Linked DNA regions of Caenorhabditis elegans. The protein of the gene in region 1 interacts with the protein of each later gene in a pairwise test. Each region holds a gene or a part of one and is shown on either strand. Other genes may lie near its edges. The genes, in order: nlp-27 and F52H2.5.

Region 1 (3,122 bases):
CGCACACCAAAAATTAGACAAGGAAAGTTTGACCGAAATTATTGACTTTTTTTCCAAAAATTCTGGAAAGGTACCATAAAATTGAGCTATTTTTAATTTATGCAGGCAGACCACACGGACTTTATTAAAAATCCAAAGTGTGCTACGAATTCAGTAATTTTGGTGCTCCAAAAAATACCAAAAGCTATCACATTTTCCGAGTCCGAGCAACACGGCAAATTTGCCGAATTTGCCGTGTTTTGAAAATATTGGAAAAAGAGATTTTCTTGAGTTGGCACAACACGGTAAACTTTGAAATTTGCCGCTCACCCCTGTTCGGTATATTGAGTCATTTTGGGCAAAAACCCCACAAACGCTACTCCACTCTCAAATATGTTTGAAAATTGACTGAGATGTTGGTTTAATTTTGAAGCTGCCTAAAAAGTTAAAATCCACTATTATAAAAGTACAAAATGCTTAAAATCTTTCATATTATGTAACAAAAATCATATTTCGTATCAAACACAAATACCACGTTCCAATATTTTATAACGGCTAACGTTACCACTGTCCAATTTGAACTGATCTATAACTGATCTAGAATCAAACTTTATTTGACGTATAACAGTGATGTTCAAGTAAAAATACCGAGTCTTGTGATCTTGATCAACGAAAAAAACTAATTGAAGATAGACGACGGCACCTATAAAAGAGGCGAAAAACGTGGTAAACATCAGAAAATCATTTTCGTGACTTTTAAAATACAAAAATGATTTCAACTTCTTCAATTCTGATTCTCGTCTTCCTTCTCGCTTGCTTCATGGCTACCAGTGCTCAGTGGGGATATGGAGGATATGGAAGTAAGTTTTTGTGCTTTTTTGATTAAAAAAAAACTTACCTCAATATAAAATTAAATCATTCACACATATTTTTCATTTTCAGGAGGTTATGGTGGATATGGTGGATACGGACGTGGAATGTATGGAGGCTATGGACGCGGAATGTATGGTGGATATGGCCGTGGAATGTACGGAGGATGGGGAAAGTAGACAAATTAGCCTACTAACTATATTCATTCTAAATCTCGTCGATTCCAGCAGTATTCTGATGGTTTGTATACTTATTCCCATATAAAATTTTTGAAATTCAAAAAGTATTATCCACATTGTAACTATTGAGTGAGTGAAACTCAAACAACTCGTTCAAAATTAGTAGAATGTAAAGCCTGCAAGACTAGAACTTCAGTGTGCACGGAAATTTTTTTTTAAGTTTCAGTACTTGACCAGTGCATGATCGTATTGTTTGAGTTACTACCAATACCTTGTAATCCGTTTAAACAATTATATTTGGTATTTTGGATATACTTCTTAAAAACAGCAAGTGGACGATTTGTGATTTCTGTAACTTCGAAACAAAATCTTATCAACTCAACATTTTTGCAAAGTGGTGTTTTACAACATTATTGACATGGTTTGCAAAGTATATTTTGAAAACTTATATGAAAGAATTGAGAAAATTTTGTAACTTCTAACAGGCAATTTCTCAAAAAGTTGAGTTAAAGTTGGATGTTGTGCTAAAATTAAAAGTTGATTTATAATGAAAAAAAATTATTTCAGAAGATCAGATATTTTTTCTGTATTTCTATATAAATTCTCAAAAACCTGGTTTTTCTTATAGTTAAAATTAAAGAGAAATAATCAAATTTTCTGCAAATAAATTTATTTTCTATTTAATAATTTGAGGAGTTGCTCAAAAATTTACTCTAGCTTCATTGCTCCCATTTTGACTGACTTTGAGACCGTTTTTGAAAAACTTCTCGAAACTCTTAATGTAAAGTAAATTTATTATCAAAATTTATAATTGTTTCTCTATATTTTCATAGAACTTTCCTCAAAAAAAACTACGACGCTACTTTTTCACAGTAACTTTTTATACAAATGTATTTGGCAACAAAAAAACATTTCTGATTTGTCATTTTCCATGGATCATCTTGACAAACATCAAAACACTTGAGAAAAATTGCGTATTTTGCCCGATAGGCCATTACCAATTTGACCAAGTGACCAATTCAAAGTGATTCACCAAGTCAGTTCGCCGCGTGCAGGAGGTGGAGATGTGGTAGAAAAAAAAAAGATGATCTTATCAGTTAGTTGTTTGACGAAAAAGGAACCCAAAATGAACAGTATAAAAGATGCCAGGTAACCAGGTAGAATACAGAAAACTTATTTACAAGTTTTTCAAAGAAATATCATTATGATTTCCACTTCTTCACTTCTTATCCTTGTCGTCCTTCTCGCCTGCTTCATGGCTGCCAGCGCCCAGTGGGGATACGGTGGAAGTGAGTTACTTTAAAAGTTTAAATCCTAAATTTTCGATCATTTCTGTTTAACATATCAATATATTGTAACTTTTCAGTGCCATATGGTGGATACGGTGGAATGGGAGGCTACGGAATGGGAGGATACGGAATGGGATACAGACGGCGCATGTGGGGAAGCCCATACGGTGGATATGGAGGATACGGTGGATACGGTGGATGGGGAAAGTAAATTCGATATTTTAAATAATCTTCTGACTTTGTAAATAATAATGAATTTTCGATCTTTATTTGTTATCTTACTCGCAAACTTTGAAACATGTATCTAAAGAAACGAAGAAGACAGAGAATTTCAGGTCAAAGTACAGTGCTGGCCAAAAAGATATCCACTTTTGGTTTTTTGTGTGTAACTTTTTTCTCAAGCATCCATTTGACTTGAATTTTTCCGTGTGCATAAAGCGAAATGTTACGCAAATTTGCGGACCAAACATTACATGATTATCGATTTTTTCTGAATTTTATTTCAATTTTTTGATTTTTTCGTTTTTCCAATTTTCATTATTTTTTTTGAATTATCAATAAAACGCACTCTGTTTGTTGCACTGGATTTGTTTGGTTGATAAATTATTTTTAAGGTATGGTAAAATCTGTTGGGTGTAAAAATCTTTCCTTGGACGTCAAGAAAGCCATTGTAGCTGGCTTCGAACAAGGAATACCCACGAAAATGCTCGCGCTGCAAATTCAACGTTCTCCGTCGACTATTTGGAAAGTAATCAAGAAGTACCAAACTGAGGTGAGTTCGAAAAATATTATTTTTTAATAATAA
Region 2 (4,127 bases), on another chromosome or scaffold:
GAAAAATGTCTGAAAAAATTAAAACATCAGGAAAATGCATAAATGTCTAAAATGACGTCACCCATTCACGCGGGAATTCAAAAATAATTCAGTTTTTTTTATGGATAAAATTCGGTATATTGGGACTGTATTCTATTATTTAAGGCAAAAACCACAAACGCAACTTTGTCAAAAAACAATAAAAGTTTGAAAAGTATTCATTTAAAAAAATGTTTTTTGTTTATCGTCAAAAAAAGTTGTTTAGTTTTTTAAACGAATGTTTTCAAAGTGGCTAGGTTAATTTGAGAAACTTTTTGAAACTATCGTCAAATGAAAGATTATAGTGATTGACATAAATTTCCGCAATTTCAAAAAAAAATCTATATGCAATAAGACGCATTCTCACCCCAAATATTTTCAAACTTTCACAATAAATTTCAGATTTTCTGATGGCCCAGACACTCACGATGAAGTCGTCAACCCAATTGGAAGGTGGTACAAAAAATGGTTCTACACTCACGTTGAAGATTTGATCAATAAAAAGCACGAATCCATTGAGTACATTCCACTCCGTGACTACTACCATCGTCACTCAAAGAGCATTTTCTGGGAGCTCAGAGACATCGTCCCATTCGGAAACAATGTCCTGTTTCGTTACTTGATGGCTTGGATGTGCCCCCCAAAGATTGCATTTTTAAAGGCAACAACTCCAAACGTTTTAAGAAAGCTGTACGATCGTAGTCATGTTTTGCAAGATATGCTTGTACCACTGGATAAGTTGGAAGAGTGCATCGATCTTTTTCACAAAGAAGTCGAAGTACGTTTTTCAGATTTTCCATATTTTCTAGCATTGTTTCCAGATCTATCCAATGTGGTTGTGCCCATTCTACTTGAAATCCCAACCAGGTCTCATGAAATTGAGAAATGCTACTCACAAGATGTACGTGGATGTTGGAGCGTATGGAGTAACATCCAAGGATGGTTATCATCACGAGAGAACAACACGGCGACTGGAATCGTTTGTTCGATCAGTCAATGGGTAAAATTTGCCTATAAATTATCACTTTAATAATTTATCGTTCAGATTCCAAATGACATATGCCGACATTTACATGACACGAGCTGAGTACGCTGAAATGTTTGACAGAACACTCTATGATTGGAAAAGAGCATCTTGCAAATGTATCGATGCGTTCCCAGATATTTACGATAAAATTTGCAGAAGTGGAAGGCGTTAAAATTTTTTATTTAAAGGTGGACTATGCGAGAAATGATTAAAAATTAATCCTATGATGTTAAAATGACCAAATATCATTTTTAAAAAAGTTTAAAAGGTTTCACGTTTTGATAAGACATGAAAAATTTTCCAAAACTTTTATTCTGCTATTTGGTGATTTTTGCACAATATCAATGAGGCTTAATCACTTCTACATTGTTCGCAGTTCACTTTTTTGAATTGATAGTCATTGCTCGATTGTTTTTCTCATCTCAATTACTTCATTGTACTGCTTAAATTTTATCATTTTACAGGCTCAATTTTCAGAAACGGCGTACAATTTTTGTTGGTCTTCATTTTCATAAGTTTACAAATCAATTAATTTAACTAAATACATTACCATGCAGAATAAATTTAAAAACAAATTTTTTTAAAAGTTTTTTTTTGAACTGTTATTTCACTTTTTTTCCCCATTTTGTTTTATAACTGCGTGTCTGCACACAATCGGGACCTCCACCCTCTCTGCCGACGCGCAAGTGTTACTGACCCACATTTAGTTTTCTTGGCGCGTTTCTTGTTTTGAATGTTGAACAGTGTTCGAGTACCTCTGTTTTTTCGTTTCAACCTCATTTGTGAGTTACTTTTTATTTCAATTTAGTTAAATAATTAATATCTACTTTGTTTTCGCAGAGTTGTCAATTCAGAAAATTTCAGACACTTCTACGGGTTGAAAAAATGTCGGACGGGTTAATTGACAAACCAAAACTTTTTGTTCAAGGAATGTTCGTGACAAGTACCTCTGGAGAAACTGCTGATGAGACAACAATGTCGAAAATTGACAATATCAGTGAGTTATTTTACAAATGTATTTTTTTCTGTTAAGACTAATTTTTACAGTTACGTATGGTCTCCAGGCAATCGAACATTTCCTAGAAAAAAACGATGGGCAGACTGAGCACTCAAAGTTAGAATACAAACGTGTTGTAGCTGACAAAGAAGTTGAGTACGTTATTATTAGAATTTGGATGAAACTGTTAAGAATTCATTTTTCAGGTGCAATCCAGATGGTGTGAAAATTGTGATTTTCGTGGAAGACATCGAGGTTCCCGCCAAACTGACTGCATTCGCCAATGGTAATCGAGCTGAGATCCACATTCCGAAGAGCAAAATTGACGAACTTTCCGAAGAGACAAATATCGATAAGCTACCAGCTAACGAAAAAGCAGCGTTTGAAATGCTTCTTAATCATTTTCTTCATGAGATGATGCATATGGTGAGTTTTTTCAAATCTTACTATTCTGATCATTTGGTTTAAATGAAAACTTTCCCAGTTTGGAGCTTTCCATTCTGATGTTGGAATCATGTCCGGAGTCATCCAGTTGTTCAATGAAGAAAATCGTATTGACTTGGCCATTTTGTTAGATGATCACTCTGCTCGAATTGTTTCTGAAACCCTTATTGGTCAAGTGCTCCCAGATCCACCAGTTGCAACATTTGTGTATGATGAGAAAGACAGATCGCTGAAATTCGAAAGCAGTGCAGGATTCCACACAGTCATGTTTCTGAACAAGTGAGTTTTTAGTGAAACTTTTCGAAAAATATTGGATTTTTTCAAAAAGTGGCAATTATTGAGTTTTTGCCACTTTTTGAAAAAACTAGAGCACTATCGTATGTTCGATTCCCTGATAATTTTTGAAACACACGTAAGTAGATAATAAAAACGGTATTTTTTTCAAATCGACGGCTTTAAAAAAGTGGAAAACGGAGTTTTTTCCGAATTTCAAAAACTCATATAAAATTTATCACTTTTTTTGAATTTTTAAGTATGAGATTTAGGTCATTATAGGCATTTTTAAAGGCAATTTTCGCTACTCCACCTTCAAAATATTTTTGCTCATTTTCAATAAATTTAAATTTCAGCTCCTACTACACAAATCGATTCTACTATTCCGTTGATATGAATTTTGAATGCATTGTTCCAAAAGATTCGGATTGGGATTCGCTTCTTGTTCAATTTGTCTATGGAGCATCGTTATTCTACAAAAAATCGTCCATTTACAACAATTGTGACTATGACCGCATTCGTCGCCGCTGAGCCAAAAACTACGTTTTAATTTATTTTTCACATGTAAAAACATAATTTTAGACACATAAACCATTTTAACAATTTCCAACTAATTAACCAGGGGTCTGAAAAAAAGAGGCGTTGAGCACCCGCATCTGGAGCAAGTAAAACGTTCCAGAACAATCTAACTTAGATTTTAAACTAAAAATTAGGTTCTAAACATATTCTACTGTTTGTGAAAACCTGTAACTCCGTGGAAAAAAATCTAACAATAAGTAAAAACCTTGTAAATTGCAATTCAACAACTTTCAGGAAAACCGATTATTAGCCAGAATATGTAGAAGTGTTTGAAGTGAGAATATATTTATTATGCCAAAATAATTATGGTTTTTCGCATTTCTACTTGTACGAATTGTCATTGTATTCTTTTATATCGGCGGCAAAATACTGTAAAATTGGGGGGAGGGGGGGGGGGGAAATAATATAGTTGAGATCAGTTTTTCTCGAACTTTAGTAAATAAAAGAAAACAACGAAAACTAAATTGGTGGTAACTGGGGATTGTGAGCGCCGAGAACTGAGAGCTACAAGTTTTTATGACACTATTCCTCTTTGTTGGCGTCGACAACCATGAACAACTTTTGCGTGAAGATCGTGACGGAATCTGAAATTTCCAATTGATCAATGGACTCCAAAAACTGAAATAGTTACCTGTGAGCGAGTCAATGCACTTTGGTTTTCCTTTCCATGCAATGAAAATAAGGTATACAGGGACACCAGACAGCATAATAAGGATTCCAATTGCAGTATCCTTCGGGTTTCCAAGAACTGGGACCAACACAAGAAGCACGCACCCAATGAAGAATATG

Evidence for each region.
Region 2: the proteins of nlp-27 (region 1) and F52H2.5 interact in a two-hybrid assay, tested with the Caenorhabditis elegans proteins (one large-scale study listed by BioGRID).

The regions. Positions count from the first base shown.
Region 1 is NC_003283.11:3,987,186-3,990,307, forward strand, and holds nlp-27 (Neuropeptide-Like Protein), read left to right. Parts: upstream 1-2,192; 5' UTR 2,193-2,232; coding exon 2,233-2,317; intron 2,318-2,394; coding exon 2,395-2,528; 3' UTR 2,529-2,585; downstream 2,586-3,122. Other genes in the region: nlp-28 (QWGYGGY-amide), read left to right, coding at 749-839, 922-1,028.
Region 2 is NC_003284.9:2,557,209-2,561,335, reverse strand, and holds F52H2.5 (Peptidase_M10 domain-containing protein), read left to right. Parts: upstream 1-1,790; 5' UTR 1,791-1,827; intron 1,828-1,909; 5' UTR 1,910-1,930; coding exon 1,931-2,042; intron 2,043-2,092; coding exon 2,093-2,198; intron 2,199-2,248; coding exon 2,249-2,468; intron 2,469-2,526; coding exon 2,527-2,765; intron 2,766-3,115; coding exon 3,116-3,290; 3' UTR 3,291-3,360; downstream 3,361-4,127. Other genes in the region: Delta(24)-sterol reductase homolog dhcr-24, read left to right, coding at 421-796, 840-1,018, 1,064-1,217; aat-3 (Large neutral amino acids transporter small subunit 1), read right to left, coding at 3,861-3,922, 3,970-4,127.